2 linked regions of the Sus scrofa genome follow. The protein of the gene in region 1 interacts with the protein of each later gene in a biochemical or structural test. Links are inferred from orthologs where the notes say so. Each region holds a gene or a part of one and is shown on either strand. Other genes may lie near its edges.

The links. The genes of interacting proteins can lie anywhere in the genome.
Region 2: of the proteins of SMURF1 (region 1) and AXIN1, one has a biochemical effect on the other in vitro, tested with the Homo sapiens proteins (2 studies listed by BioGRID, with this or other methods). The link is inferred for Sus scrofa from reciprocal best matches to the Homo sapiens genes SMURF1 and AXIN1.

What each region holds. Positions count from the first base shown.
Region 1 is NC_010445.4:6,136,724-6,145,134, reverse strand, and holds the start of SMURF1 (E3 ubiquitin-protein ligase SMURF1), read left to right. Parts: upstream 1-3,756; 5' UTR 3,757-5,173; coding exon 5,174-5,468; intron 5,469-8,411. UniProt on the Homo sapiens protein: E3 ubiquitin-protein ligase that acts as a negative regulator of BMP signaling pathway. Mediates ubiquitination and degradation of SMAD1 and SMAD5, 2 receptor-regulated SMADs specific for the BMP pathway.
Region 2 is NC_010445.4:41,346,312-41,354,025, forward strand, and holds part of AXIN1 (axin-1), read left to right. Parts: exon of another isoform or gene 1-1,805; 5' UTR 1,806-1,887; coding exon 1,888-2,768; intron 2,769-7,714. UniProt on the Homo sapiens protein: Component of the beta-catenin destruction complex required for regulating CTNNB1 levels through phosphorylation and ubiquitination, and modulating Wnt-signaling.

The sequences.
Region 1 (8,411 bases):
ACAGAAGATCCAGCAGCTACGTGACTGCGCTTATGCTGAAAACGGCGCTGGAAAATGCATTTGCTTCCATGACTTTGCATAAGCTGTTCCCTCGGTCTGCAGTGCCCTTCCCCACTTCTTTGCCCAACAAACTTGAACCTAAACTTGCCTCTGAGGGTCTCGATCAAGTTCTTCGGGTGACTCTGCTAAGCTCGCCCCATCTCTTTTCTCCCAGGCAGAACTGTCTGGTAATTTACATTCTAGCCCTCTGTGTGTATCTCCATCTCTTGTCTGTTTCATCGAATCAACAGAGCCTGGGAAATGCTGTCGCTTTGACTGATGTTCCTTGTCCCTAGCCACGTAGTAGGTGGCTGATGTTTTCTGATCAATAAGACACTGGCATTCGTTTAGGAAGGTTCCTTCTTGTGAAGGCTGTGCTGCAAGACGCCATTAGGTGTAGCTAATTAAATGACAACAGCGGCTGTTTTCCTTTTTTATTGAAGCATGGTTGATTTACAATGTATTAATTTCTGCTGCACAGCAAAGTGGTTCAGTTATACACATATATATGTTCTTTTAAAAAATATTCTCTTCCATTATGGCTTATCATTGGATATTGAATGTAGTTCCTTGTGCTATACAGCAGGACCTTGTTTATCCATTCCAAATGTAATATCCTACATCTATTAACCCCAAAGTCCCAGTCTGTCCCCCTCCCACCCTTGGCAACCACAAGTCTGTTCTTTATGTCTCTGAATCTCTTTCTGTTCTGTAGAGAGGTTCATGTGTGCCATATTTTAGAGTCCACATATAAGTGACATTATACGTATCTTTCTCCTTCTGACGTCATTTAGCATGATAATCTCTAGCTGCATCCATGTTGCTCTGAATGGCATGATTTTGTTCTTTTTTATGGCCCAGTAGTATTCCATTGTGCATATGTACCACGTCTTGTTGATGAATAAATGAAATGGAATTCAGTTACTTCCAGAAGCGGCCTGGGAAACAGTCAAGAAAAGGCTCAGACATCTAGGAAGGTAGGAAAACAACGAGGTTAAGAAATGCCAGGTTTTTAGGTCAGACTCCTTACACCTAAGGGGTAAGAACAGGGGCCAGGACTCAGGTAAGCAGAGAAAGAGGTTTCGTTTGGTTGACAGAGAAAAGACTCCTTAAACATGGGAAAGAAGCAGAGGGAGAAAAACTGACGAAACTGAGAGAAGAATGGGATTATTCCAGGCATTCGAGGCTCGAAATGGGTTATTCAGAGCCAAGGACCCAGTGACAATTGCCTACAGAGAGAAACAAAGCTGGATTCTGGAGGTACTGCTCTGTTGCTTAAACATAGCTCTTCTTGGAAATCACTAGAATCATTGAAATTCTGAGCTGCAAGAGCCATAGCAATGATCTAGGCCTGTCCTTTTATGTCACTGATAGAGGCTGGAAAAGGCAGCCTAGCATCTGGCCCAGAGGAGAGTCAGCCTGAGCTCAGCCAGAGCAGGTGGACATGTCAGGGGCTCTAAGAAGAGAGCTCTATTCAGAAGACCGTGACCCCAAGCAAGGTCCCTGGCTGCAGGGGATGGGTGCAAGGGCTCAGAGCCTTAAGGCATTCAGAGACTTAGGTAGTCGTTCAAATACAGTTTTGATAAACAAGCCTAGCTTTTCCTCTCCAATACAGTTTGATAAACAAGCCTAGCTTTTCCTCTCCGTAACAGGTTAACACGCAGAGGAGTTTGCTGGGGAAAGCGTCAAGAGCTTTTAGTCCTACCTTGCAGCTCTGGAAGGAGGGGAGGTGTTAGCAGAAGGCAGAGAAACAGAGGCCCTAAAACTGCCTTTCGGTTTGTCTGGCTCAACTGTTTGCAGGTTGGATAACGACAAACATCTTATCTGCCTCTTTATCCCTATATCTCGCCTCCTGTTTACTTGTCTCTAGATGGCACTTCCTGCAACTCTGGCAACTTTGTTACGGGTCAACAGAGCGCACCAGTCGCCCAGAACACACCCAGGAGACTGTTTCTGGGAGAAGTCCTTGCCTTGAAATTGCGTTATCTAGAGGCTAAAACCAAACTGGGACTGCGTGCCTGTTCGTGCAAAGTGCTTGGTGTAGTAACAGGCCACAGTTTCACGTAAGCGCCCCTTCGACAGCTCTCAGGAGCTCCAGGCCTTGAGTGAGAGATCTAGAAAATCGATTCCGTTCTCTGGACCTCAACGTCCGCATCTGCAAACCGGCTCCCTCGGCGAAGACCCAGGACGACCGCCCGCGGGACCCGCCGTCCCTCCCGCCCCGAGCCGTGCGCTCGCTCCCAGTCGCCACGGCTCCACACACTGCACCGGGTTCCGCGGGCCTTCAGGGGGCTCGCCCCAGCCGCGGGGCGCCGACCTCCTCCCTCCTCCGCCTCGGGATCAGCAAGGTGCGGGAAGACCGGCTCCCGACCCCGCGCGCCCGAGACTGGGCGGGAGACGCAGCCGCGCGGCGCGCCCCGCCCCACCGTGCTCCGCGGGCGCGCGCACGCACGCAGGCGCGGGGGTGCACGGCCCGGCGGCGCGCAGGGCCGGGCCGGCCCGGCGGCGGGAGCGCGCGCGGCTCCGGGAGGCGGCGGCGGCGGCGGCGGAAGCGGCGAGGGCGGCGGGCGTCCGGCTCAGAGGTGGTGTCGGCGGCGGCAGCAGCGGCTCTGGACTGGGCTCGGCTAGGAGCGAGCGAGGGTCGGGGGCGCAGGGTCGAGCGCCGATCCTCCAGCTCGACCATCCACCAGTAGCCCAGACGCCTGGGCCGCGGAGTTTGTGTCCCGGCTCGGACCCCGGCGCCCAGCCCGGAGCCGTAACCTTGAGGCGGCGGCGGCGGGGCCGGGCCGGGCCGGGCCGGGGGGCGGCGGCGCTGGATCCGCGGCTGCCAGATCGTTGGCGGGAGATGTCGAACCCCGGAACGCGCAGGAACGGCTCCAGCATCAAGATCCGTCTGACAGGTACGGCCGGCGGGAGGGCCCCGCCGCCCCCCCAGCGCCCACTCGCACCCCGCACGGCCCCTCGGCAGCCCCGGAATTTCCCGCAGAGCGCCCTGGGGAAGTGGCCCTCCCCCACGCCGGCCGTGGTCCCAGGACCTCGTCGCCCTCTTAGGCTAGTGCCCCTCATCTCCCTCCCGGCCCCGCCCCCTCGCTGCTCCCCGGCCCCGCCCCCTCGCTTCTCGCCCCCCCATCCGCCCTCTAGCTTCTCTCCCCCCTCCACCTGCCCCCTCTCTTCTCCCCTCCTGGCCCCCTCCGGTTCACTCCCTCCATCCTTCTCGCTCCCGCTCCCTGTTCTCCCCCAGGCCCCTCGCGTCCCCCTCCTGGCCCCGCCCCCTAGCTTCTCTGCTTTTGGACCCCCTCCGTTTTCATCCCCTGCATCCTCTTTTCGCTCCCCCTCCTCCTTCTTGCCCCTCGCTTTTCCCCTCCTGGCCCCGCCCCCACTTCTCAACTCCCTCCTTCCCCTCAATTTCTTCCCTTTCCCCTCACCTGCCCCCTCTCTTTTCCCTCTTGGTTCCGCCCCCTGCTTCTCCTCTCCTTCCCACCCTCTGTCGCTTCCCAGTCTCTACCCCCACCTGCCCCCTCGCTTCTCCCCTCCCGGCCTTGCCTCCCGCTTCTCCCTCCTGGTCCCCCCACCACCCCGCCCACCGACTTCTCACCCCTCCCCCATCAGCTCTCTCGCCTTCCTCTCTTTACCACCCCTCCCCACTTGCCCCCTCGCTTCTCCCCTCCTGGCCCCGCCCCCTCACTTTCCCCCTAAGCCCCGCCCCTCATTTTCTACCTAGTCCCGCCCTCGCTTATCTCCCAGCCCCGCCCCCTTGCCTCCGTCTCGCGCCTCCACCCTTTCCTTCAGCCTCGAATTCCTCAATCCTATCTCCTAGCTTCTCCTGGTCTTGTTCTCATTTCCCCTCTGGTCCAGACCTCTTCAGTCTGGTGCACTTCCTTTCTCTCTCAAACCAGGCCACTGTCTCCTCTTGACTGTGCCGCTTCCTTTTCTGCCCTGCACTTCGCCGTCACCCCCTCACCCCCCGACATCCTTAAACACCGCCAACCCCCGCCCCCCTCACGCACGCTCTGGAGGCTCCGGCGGCTGCACGAACGCAGGCTCCTTGATTCACTCTCTTTTAGTCTTCAATGAAATGCCCGTGTCTCCTAGGTGGCTCTGTAGTGCCACCTTCAAGGGTGAGCGCGAAGCTCTGCTCTGGGCCTGCGACGTGGTGGTTTGGATGCGCGTAGCTGGCAACCGTCTGGCGGGGCCCCTCGCTAGCAGGCTCCAGCGATCCTGGACCAGTTTGCATCCTCGTCCACCCTTTCTCTCAGTACTCCACGGCTGCTGCCCGGTCTCCTGGGTTGAATTCCCACCTGAGGCCGAAATGAAATGCTGCAAATACAGTTCGGCTGGGGGACTTTCCAAACGTGCATATTTCCAGCTCTGGAAATGAAATAAAAAGTTCAGGCTAATCCCTGTCAGGGGTTTTCCCCTGGATTTTTTCTGTTCCGTGTCTGGTCTGATGATGACTCCAAAGTCATTCTGGTCAGATTCTTTCCAAAGGACAGTGAGCGTTTGGGATACTTTATGGCAAATGCATGGCCCTCAGTTATTGGTGAAATCCATGAAAACAACAGTGGGTCATTTTTTCAAACTAAAATTTCCTTTGGAGGTTCTTAGTTGTTGCATGACCCATTTTTTTTTTTTTGTTTCCAGGAAAGGGAGATTCGGGGATTTTTGTTTCTGGAGAAACAATTCTTTCTTCCAGGGCTGGTAGGAAACGCTCACTACGTAGATACAGTATATAAATACATTGTTATTTTTATGGTTACATAAAAACCACGTTTTTGACTTTGTAGTGCTTGTAAAACTTCAATTACTGACAACTTTAATTTGGTCCTCATTTACAATGTAATCTATAATTGACATCAGATTGGTTTCACTTTTCTTGTTAAAAGCAGAAGTAACTGATTTTGTGAGTTTGGGTGGAAGCGTGATTAATGTTTTAGAAGCACTAGGTTTTCATTACAACGTTTGTGTCAGGTGTAGATGTTTTAATCAAGCCTAGTTGGCAGGTCGGGACCTGGGCCTTTTTTTCCTGGAAGGGGTGGAGTGGGGGCTCTATCCTTCCTCCCAAATTATTTTGGGACTCAGGCACTTGGATGCCATAGGTTCGGAGATGCTTTAAGGAGTTTTTGGATAGTGTCTGATGTTGAAGGATTACGCGAGGAGAGTTATTTCCAAAGCACCTTTTCCCTTTCTCCCAGCTGATGTTATTACGGATCTGAAGGGAATCCCTGAGTTTGCTCCTCCCTGCAGCGAGATGGAGAATTTAGCTGTGGATGCAGACCTGCTTGATGCCAGGCGTCTGATGAACAATAATTTACTTGGAAAGGTTGGAACCAGATACTTGGTTGGCAGCGGACTAGGTTTTGGTCTCTTCTTTGAGCTTGCCAGGGGGAGTGGGATCACTGCTGGCATCTTGGGAAGCCATCTTTCAGGAGGTATGTGCTTTTGTCACAGGTTTCAGAGTTTATTTCCTTGTGTGATATTTGAAACCATGTTTTAAAACAAGGGTTATTCTAACCAGTCAGTTGATACCAGAGAGCATAGTTCAATGAAAAGTATGAAGACACTGGAATATAAGAGTGTTAGAAGTTGGCGACCACTAAAAGTTGTATTTGGTGGTGAGTGGAGTGTTGGGTTTAGAATTGGGAGACTCCGTTCTGGTAAGATCTACCATTAACTGCCTGATACAGAACCAATTATTTGACCCTTGTGAGTTCTGTTTTCTAATGTACAAAGTGAGATTTCAGCCCATGGTAACTTTCTTTTCTTTTCCTTCTTGAGGGCATATCAATTTGGCTCCCTACTTGTTCCAAATTACCATTGGCTTATGCTTTCTATTGTTGAGTGTCAATCCAGATATTCAGAATTGCTGTTAAAACCCAGCGCTTCTGTTTGATTGAAGCCAAGCGTTCCTTTTGTGTATGGGTTACATTTTATGATTTCTCCCCCACCCCCCACCCCCAGCCCTTTTGGTTTTTGAAAACTCTTGGGTAGTATGTCGCACTGCTGAAACAGTAGAAGAATGTTTGGGTCTTTATACTGAAAAGAATATGATTTTAATGAATGTCTTTGTGGTATTTTAACAGGAAAATAGTTTTTAAAGGGTTTCAGTAGGTTTGGAGCATAACATATGCAAAATCAAGTGATGTTTGCTGAAGAGCTGTCTTGCAGATATTTTAGAGTGCACCGGCAAATCAGACACTTTGGAAACTATTTTAAATTCAAGCAGGATTTGCAAAACCTTGTTCTTATGTGGTGCACAAATGAATCCCAGATACATTATTTGGGCCACTTTGGTAAAAGAATGGAATTTTGAACTCTTGGGGTTCAGTGCTCGTCAAACAAATTTTATTCTAATGTTAACCAGTTATTTGAAATTCCAAATGCCTAAACTTTTTTTGTGTGCTTTTATGCCTTGAAATACCCTCTCATCGCCTGGTGTTTTTATATTTTTCCGAGCATGACTGTGTAATATGAAGGTAATATGAAGGTAGTTTCAAGTAGAGAGGGGGGAGAGCCCTTTCTTGATAGCATATGGAAATGGAAACTATTTTTAAAGTTGTAGCACGTGTAAGGCTGACCTCCCCCCCCCTCCGGCTTCCAGATGATCCAACTTGGAGGGAAATGGTTGTAGTAATAGTTGTTAATAACTTTCATTTATCAGTAGCAGGTGACCTAATTGATTTGAAATAGTGACGTTTTCCTTAAGAAAGATTAAGAAACCTGTGAAGATGTTGCCTGAGTAGGTGTGTACCAGCAAAGACCCCGACCTATGTAAGGCAGGCGGAACTCTTGTTTTAGCAAGTGGAACTGTGATAAGAGGGAAGCCGTCACCCGTATTCACCAATGCCTGCACCTGAGTTTGCCTGACATTTTCCTTAGAGCCTGCCTCAAGTTTGTGAACGTCCAGTCAAGGCACTTCTTTGGGGTCAATTATCTAAGGGTGTGGGATGGGCCGGATCACATGCTATTGCAAAATTTCAACTCCTGTTATACTTGAAAAGCAATCACGTTCTGCCACACACACGGTCTCTCACTGACTTTATTTGTCATTTGGTCACATCTGTGTTGTCTTAAGAAAAATTGTTCTCAAACAGGCGAAAAACAATCTTCTTGACCCACCTCAGTGGCTTCAGAAGCGAACTATTTCTTGTGCTTTCTATCTGTATTTTTAGAGTAATTGTGCTCTATCAAACTAGAATATTTTTTTACTCCAAGCCTATTTCTTTGTCAGTTCACAACTCCTCTTTTTGCAACCATGAGAGTCACGTCTGAGCTTCAAGTCTTCTCTTCTCCTCGTATTTGCTCTGTTTGGTCACCTCGTCCGGCTCGAATGTGGAACATTGGATGAGCGGGAGGTCCTGGGGGCTGAGTCACTTGTGAAGATGTATTTCCTCCTGAATTAAAAAAAGAAAAAAAAAGACAAAAAAAAAAAAAAGACTGACCCATAATATTTCAACATCAGCTCAGTGATCCAGTTAACTAGACTGGCTCTTTTGTAACATGTTTGTGGGCACTGGTTAAAAGTTAAAATAGCTGAATTGTACATTTTATTGAGTGCTGAGAGCAAAAAAGGAAGTTCAAAAAAACCTTCTGAAATGGAGGAAATGGTGTCTTTGCCATGCTCTGATTTTCTGGGCGAGAAAACCTTGACTTTTAGGATTCTCACTTAAAGCACACATTTTGGCATTTCAGAACCATCACCATGGTTAAATATTTTTAAACAAGTAGCAAATTAAAAATTATGTGAGTTTATGGCGGGTTTTGGTTGTTGGTCGCTAAACAACTTCAGTTACTGGTCTGCTTGTTGTTTTATAAGTGAATTTTATCGCGCGAAAGCTCTTGCCTTGAATTGGCTTGCTGTCCATGGCCCTCTCCTTCGAGCTGACCAGAGTCCCTAAGGCCGGTCTCCTTAAGAGCTGCGGAGCCCGGTCGAAAAGACAAAAGCTCATAGCCACGTGGACCAGGTCTGTCTGCTTTTCAAAATGTTGGAATTGCTGTTGTGTCTCCAGATGACATCGAATCCATTTAGATATTTCAACCAAGTGAAATGTTTCCATATTAACATTTAGATTAACATTAACATTTAGATTAAAGGGGAAACATCCTTTTATTGTTTTAAAACAAGGCTCAACTAATGCACAAGCAGTGCGTCTGGAGATGTGGCCGGCGCTCTAATCCAGCTGTGTTCACCTCCACGGCAGCTGAAAGGAATTCTAATTGGCCGAGGAATGTCGGCACCATCATGTATCACGGAGCAGGAGCCCGTTCTGCTGGCTGCTGGGTGATGCATTTCAGATGTTTTAGGCTCCTGAGTCCAACTTGGAGGTTGCTTGCAGGAGTCTGGAAGAGAGAGGCGTGAAGCGGGGGTTGTGGAC
Region 2 (7,714 bases), about 35 Mb from region 1:
TGCTGCACGGGTTCCATCCGTGGCTGGTAATGTCTGTGTGCCGTGGGTGTGGCTGAAAAAAGAAAAAACAATTCAGATGGTATATTTGAGTGAAATGAATGCGTACGTACACACCTATAGCACCGAGGCAGCTGCCGTGGTGCCCAGGCATGCCTGGCAGGGACCGAAGGAGCGTTTCGGTGAGGTGTCAGGGTTTCCGATTCCCTTTGTGGCTTCCCTTTATTGATGGTGGCTACAGACCGTGGGCCAGAGTCAGTGTCGGTGGGGACTGGACTCTGACCTCAATGGATGTAAATGCCTCACGGGTGGTACACACACCCGACGTGCGCTGCAGTTGTCCGTGGGAACCCAGACATTTCGGGAATGGGCTCGTGTTTCAGCACCAGCAGGAACTGGGAGCGAGGTTCTCGTGCTTCCAAGGCCCCGAAGTTCTCCTGTCCGTTGACAGCGGAACATAGGTATGGATTTTAAGATGTTCCTTCTAGGCTAGGAAAAACTAGTTTAAGTGACATGGGGGGCTTGTTCACACACGAAGTAAAAGTTAGTCCGTTAAAGCAGTGCATTTTCATGACAGAGGACTAAGTCTTTCACTGGCTGCTCTTTCTGTAGCACAGTCCTTCAGTGCCTGCGAAGAGCCAACATTCAGCGTCTGTAGGTGGTGTTTTCCTTAATGGCGATGAAGTAAGTATTTATTGGTGCCCATTACTTGCAGGACCTTGTGTTAGATGCTGTGAGTCCTGCAGAAAATGTTTAACTCGGGCTGCCACAGACCACTCCTGTGGCAGAAAGGGGCACTTTAAGAGAAAGTGACGGTGACTCGGAATTAGCCTCCCAGTCAGACACAGTGATGTGTTTTTCTCAAGGCTGGCGGATCCCTGCAAGGGTGAGGCTCAGGGACCAGGGGTGGGTCCTCTTTCCTGAGCTGGTGTCCTTGACGGGAGAACCCTGGATGGCCGCGAGCAGCTGTGGAGCTGGGACACCAAAGGTGCTCAGTTCGTGTTGATGGCACTCAGACAAAAAGCACCTTGGCAGTTTCAGTGGTCCGTGAGCAGCAGGGTGTCATAGCCCATGGGCTTTGACCTTAAGAAGCAGGCTGTTCCTGCTGAGCCTGAGCCCTTCAGCCTGCCAGTGGTTTTCATAGAAAGTCATGAGCTGCAGAGCCGTCCATAACCGTGACCCATCCTCCACCTCTGGGTGCTTCCTCTAGCCCCCCACAGCTGCCGGCCCTCAAAGTGTGTGCAATGTGCGCATGCAGGCATGGGGGCAGGTGGCGGGGTGGCGGGGAGATCCACGCCTGCTGTTTGTATGCTGGCAGGGCTTTATTTCCGTCCCTCTTTGTTCTCGCAGGATGACGCTTGTAGCTAGTGGCATGGGACATTGATCCCTTAGCGCCAGAGGCGTGCCTAGAGCTGTAAAGCTTTCCAGACATTGTTTTCACGTGGTACAAGACCGGTGACAAAGATTGAAAATTTGGGAGTTCCCGCTGTGGCGCAGCACGTTAAGGATCCGGGCTGTCTCTGCGGTGGTGCGAGGTCGCTCCCCGGCCCTGTGCAGTGGGTTCAGTGTCTCGTGTGGCTGCAGCTGGGGCGCAGGTCATAGCTGGGGGCGCGGGGTCAATGCCTGGCCCGGGACCTTCCACAGGCTGTGGGTGTGGCCTCTGGAAAAAAAACAGAGTGAGAATTTAAGCCGAGTCTCTGGCTTTGAGCGGGAGGGCGTCGTTGCGAGGCTTGTCTGAGAAAACCTCTGTGGTCGTGTCTCCATGGCCCCACTGTTCCTAATCCTTGTCCTCTTGATGGTTTCAACAGGCCAGAGTGATTCCCTGGGAGCCGTAAGTACTGATGTATTAGGGTGCAGCGCGCGTTGCGCCTTGACGCACAGCGCCCCAAAATGAATACCCAGGAGCAGGGCTTCCCCTTGGACCTCGGCGCAAGTTTCACCGAAGATGCCCCCCGGCCCCCAGTGCCTGGTGAGGAGGGGGAGCTGGTGTCCACAGACCCCAGGCCCGTCAGCCACAGCTTCTGCTCTGGGAAAGGTGCCGGGATTAAAGGGGAGACTTCGACAGCCACGCCGAGGCGCTCGGACCTGGACCTGGGGTACGAGCCCGAGGGCAGCGCTTCGCCCACCCCGCCGTACTTGAAGTGGGCCGAGTCGCTGCACTCCCTGCTCGACGATCAGGACGGGATAAACCTGTTTCGGACTTTCCTGAGGCAGGAGCACTGCGCTGACCTGCTGGACTTCTGGTTCGCCTGCAGCGGCTTCAGGAAGCTGGAGCCCTGCGACTCGAACGAGGAGAAGAGGCTGAAGCTGGCCCGAGCAATTTACCGCAGGTACATCCTCGACAGCGGTGGCGTCGTGTCCAGGCAGACCAAGCCGGCCACCAAGAGCTTCATCAAGGACTGCATCGCCAAGCAGCAGATCGACCCTGCCATGTTCGACCAGGCGCAGACCGAGGTGCAGTCGAGCATGGAGGCCAACACCTACCCCGCCTTCCTCAAGTCCGACATCTACGCTGAGTGCACGCGCGCGGGCGCCGAGAGCCCCAAGGCCTGTGGCGAGCCGGGCTCCGCGGCAGGCACGGGCAAGGGGGTCCCCGGATACCTGCCCACGCTGAACGAGGACGAGGAGTGGACGTGCGACCGAGGCGCGGACGAGGAGGCCGCCGGAGACCCCGCACCGCCCGGCAGGCTCACGCAGACGCTGCTGCTGCTGGAAACCGCCGCCCCGCGGGCCTGCTCGAGTAGACGGTACAGCGAAGGCAGAGAGTTCAGGTGAGTCCCCCGCGAGGCCGCCGTCCCACGCTCGCCTCCGGGCACTGGAGGACTGGCCTGGGAAAGGGCTGCTCCCTCGGCTCTGGCCCCAGAGCGGCGGGACGCCTGGTGCCGGGGTGCGAGGTCACACGGTGTGCAGAGCCTGGCAGGTGGAGGGTGCTTTTGGCGAGAACAGCCCCAACCCGAGTGGCTTCGGAAGGCGCTGGGAATGTGGGCTGCCTTGGACGCCACGTGGCGTCCAACCCTTAGCAGTCCCGTGTGTGTCCCCTCGCCCAGAGGGGTGTTGACCTGGTGGCCGCGGTCCTTGGGGCTCAGAGAGCGGAGGCCTGGACGTTGAAAGGCGTCGGTGCGTGGAGAATTCCGGGTCGTCCCCCGAGCTTCTTCCTAGAGGTCGGGAAGCGCTGCTGGCGAGGCTGCTGTGCCGCAGGCGGTCCGAGCCCCGTGGGAACTTCCTGTGGCTGCGCTTGTGGGTCTAGGACCACCCCTTTCTCCTGCCCAGACCGGGACTCGGAAGCTGTGGTCATGGTCGTGGCCTGTGGGCACAAAGGCAGCTGGGAGGCCAGGAGCGGTGCCTTTGGCAAGTCGCTGGGACTTTGGAAACCTGTTTCTTGGTTCTCTTTCTTGTGGTTCCTGGCAGTTTGTTTGGTCTCTGGCCGGAGCTTGTGGCCGCCGGTCGCAGCCCTTCCCCTCCCTTCCCCGTCCTGGCCTGCGAGGTGCTGAAAGGCTGGCATTTAATAAAGCGACCCCATGATGCAGGCGAGTCTCCCGGCGCTGGTCTCCCGGACCCCGTCTTCAATCTTCTCGTGGCAGAAAAAGTGGTTACTTGCTAACAAACACAGGGCTAGATGTGCTGAGGGTTGAAATGTTCTCTAAGGGGTGGGAAGCAGACACACTGTCCTAGGTGACTTTCGTTTGCCTTTTTCTCACTGTCTCTCTCTTTTCTTTTTTGGCCTATGAGGTTCTCGGGCCAGGGATCAGATCTGAGCCGTAGCTGCAACCTCAGTTGCCACGGCTGCGGCAGTGCCGGATCCTTAACCCGCTGTGCTGGGCTGGGGGTCGAACCTGCCTCCCAGTGCTCCCAGGATGCAGCTACAGCGGGACCTCCTCATGGTCTTTAAACCTTACGTGGCGCAGTGGTTAACGAATCCGACTAGGAACCATGAGGTTGCGGGTTCGGTCCCTGCCCCTGCTCAGTGGGTTAACGATCCGGCGTTGCCGTGAGCTGTGGTGTAGGTTGCAGATGCGGCTCGGATCCCGAGTTGCTGTGGCTCTGGCGTAGACCGGTGGCTGCAGCTCCGATTCGACCCCTAGCCTGGGAACCTCCATATGCCGCGGGAGCGGCCCAAGAAATAGCAAAAAGACAAAAAAAAAAAAAAAAAAAAAAAAAAAAAGAAAATCTAAATCTAACTTGAGAGTGTTCATATTTGGTCAGGACAGTGTTCTTTTTGTTTGTTCGAAGGACCACACCTGCAGCCTATGGAGGGTCCCAGGCTAGGCGTCGAATCGGAGGTGCAGCTGCCGGCCTACCCCACAGCCCACGGCAACGCCGGATCTTTAACCCACTGAGTGAGGCCTGGGATTGAACCCCCATCCTCATGGATGGATACTAGTCGGGTTTGCTACACTGAGCCACAACGAGAACTCCTCGACTTGATCTTGTGTGGGGCAGGTTTAGGTCACCAGCAGAGTTGAGAGGAAGGTGCCGCAGTTTCCCGCACACTCGTGTCCCCACGTGTGCATGGCTCCCCCGTCACCGGCCTCCCGCAGCAGAGTGGTCATTTGTCTCAGATGCCAAAGCTATGGCATGACCACCCGCCGTCCGTGGTTGCACTCCAGGCCCCTCAGCGGTGGGGTCCGTCCTGTGGGTTTGGACCAAGGTGTGCGACGTGTGTCTGTCGCAGAACTGCATGGGGTGGTCTCGCTCTGCCTCCGCGTCCTTTCCAGCCCCCGCCCCTGCCCCTGTCAGCCCCTGAAGCTTTTGCCATCTTCATGGCTTTGCCTTTTCCGGAAAGCCATGTAGTTGGAGCTGTGCAACGTGCAGCCTGTTCACGCTGGCTTTTCTCTCTCTCTCTCTCTCTTTTTTTTTTTTTTTTTTGTCTTTTTGCCTTTTCTTGGGCCGCTCCCGCGGCATATGGAGGTTCCCAGGCTAAGGGTCGAATCGGAGCTGTAGCCGCCGGCCTACACCAGAGCCACAGCAACTCGGGATCTGAACCATGTCTGCGACCTACACCACAGCCCACGGCAACGCCTGGTCCTTCATCCACTGAGCGAGGCCAGGGATCAAACCCGCAGCCTCATGGTTCCTAGTCGGATGCGTTAACCACTGCGCCATAACGAGAACTCCTAGCTTTTCTCTCTTAATACGCTTTTGCGGTTCCTCGGTGTCTTTTTGTGGCTCCGAAGCTCATTTCTTTTTGGTGCTGAACCGCGTGGGTGGTCTGGCTTATTTACCCACTCGCCTGCTGGAGGACATCCTGATTGCCGTGTTTGACAGTTGTGACGAAAGCTGCAGTAATCACCCGTGTGCAGGGGTTGGTGTGGGCCTGAGTTTTCGTCCCCTTTGGGTGAATGTCAGGGGCCTGAGCGCTGGATTTCATGGTGAGAGCAAATTGAGTTTTATCAGAAACTGTCCCCTTTCCGAGTGTTTTTGCCTCTGCCTTCCTGTGGCCAGCTTTGTGCCAGGTGGGCTCCCTTGCCTTGGAGGGTGGCTCCGGGCTCTGGGCGCCCTTGTTTTGTAAACAGACGCTTCCCACTGAAGGAAGCACAGAAGGGGGCCCCGCGTCTGCCCTGGTGGTCAGGGATGGCTTGTGCCAGTGTCCTGCCCGTTCCAGCATCGTGACCGCGCCAGGGCTGGGCCTGCTGCTGGGCTCACCCCAAACAGGGCGCCCAGAGGAGGAGGTGCCCAGACGGGGAGCCTCACGGGGGGCGGGGTGCAGGTCTGAGCAGGCCCCTCCCCCCGGGGAGCGCGAGTGTGCACGCACATGCATGCACATCTGTTTGTCCTGTCGCTGACTTGAGAAACAGCAGGTGAGCCTTTTACTTAGGTCTTTGTCAAAACCGAAAGAGTAGAGGTGGCCCTGGGTTTTTCTGCATTTGTCCTGCTCACCTGGGTCCTTTTGAGCCCTCGGGCTGAAGCATCCCCAGACTCGTTGCTGCTCCCCTGGTCTCTCTGCGAAGGGTCTCCCTGGTCCTTGTTGCCTGTTGTTGGTGGGACTGTGAGCATGTGTGACTTTGGCTGATTCACACCCACCATTTAAATTCGGTCTTTTTTTTTTTTTTTTTTTTTTTGTCTTTTTAGGGCCAAACCCATGGCATATGGAGGTTCCCAGACTAGGGGTCCAATCACAGCTGAAGCTGCCGGCCTACACCACAGCCACAGCAACTCGGGATCCGAGCTGCGTCTGCAATCTATACCGCAGTAAATGGTAACGCCTCATCCTTAACCCACGGAGCGAGGCGAGGGATCGAACCCGCATCCTCATGGGTACTAATCAGGTTTGTCACCCCCGGGCCACAGTGAGAGCTCCCCACCACTTAAATTTGGTGTCAGTTGGCAAAGGGCCCTCTGATGATGCGGCTCCCCGTGCCCGGCGGCTCACGCCATTGGTCAGTGGGCGGGGGCGGGGTGGGGCGGGGGCGGGGCTGCTCGGGCAGGCTGGGCGGGCCAGAGTCTGTGCGCTGAGACTGGAGCGGTGGATCCTAGGCGCTCTCCATTGGTCAGCAGGGCCGCCAATCTATGCGTGGGCGGGGACGGGGGCGCGCAGGCCCAGCCCTGAGAGGTTTAGCTCTGCGGTCGCCACGGCAGTTCCGGTGCCCCTAGGCCACAAGGCGTGGAGACTCGAGGGCAGGAGCCAGGGCCGGTCGGAGGCATCGGGGTCCTGGACGGCGCAGCCGAGCTGCAGGTCGGCTCTTTTGGCTGTGTTTTTACTTAATGATTTGGCGTTGGGGCCCAGGCTCCGCCTCAAAAGCTTGGCCTGGCCCGACCTGCCTGCTGGGTGCCGAGCTGGGCCAGGTTGGTGCAGCCTGTACTCTTCAGCAGCCCTTCTAGCACCTGCACTCAGCGATTGTCCATTTGTTTGTTGTTCTGGCTGTGCCTGCGCCATGTAGAAATTCCCGGGGCAGGGATGGAGCCTTCAGCACAGTAGTGTCCTGGGCCACAGCAGCAATGATGCTGGATCCTTACTTAACCCACTGCACCACAAGGGAACTCTGCCACTAGTTTTATTTTATTTTTCTTTTTACGACTGCACCTGCAGCACGTAGAAGTTCCCAGTCTAGGGTCACATTGCAACTGCCGATGCTGGCACCTCGGGATCCTTAACCCACAGAGCGAGGCTAGGGATCGAACCTGCATCTTCGTGGATGCCAGTCAGGTTGTCAACCTGCTGAGCCATGGCGGGATCTCTAGGACACTGATCTTGTTCAGCCAGCCTGTTGGACTTGACCTTCAACGAATTCTCCTCACTGTTGAATTTCTAGGTCACCTGCCGTGGCAGGTGGCTCCTTTTAAAAGTGTGGCTCTTGTGCTGCAGCCTTCCCCTCCATTTTCCTGTTACCGTGCTGGTAATTACTGGGAGTGTGGGCACGAAGCTCTGAGAGAGCGCGTGGCCTTGCTGCCATCCCTCGTGCTCTTCCAGATGTGCGACTTCCCACCTGATTGAATCCCTTTAACCAGCAGACGAGCCCCAGGCAGGCGGAGACAGTTGCGGACGAGGCGTAGTTCGCAGCTGTGGGCTTCTCAGGGCGGGAGTCTGCGGGTCCTTTCCTTCCCTCCACTGGCTGGAAGGGTAGACCTTGGAGCTTGGTGGGGTCCGCCTTCTCCTGGTTGTGTGCTGGTGGGAAAGTGGCTGCATCTCCCTGAGCTTTTCTGTGAAGTGGGGAGGGTGAAGGAAGGGCCCGCCAGGTGTAGCGGCTCCCTGGGGTAACCCAGGGCTCAGCCCCGCGGG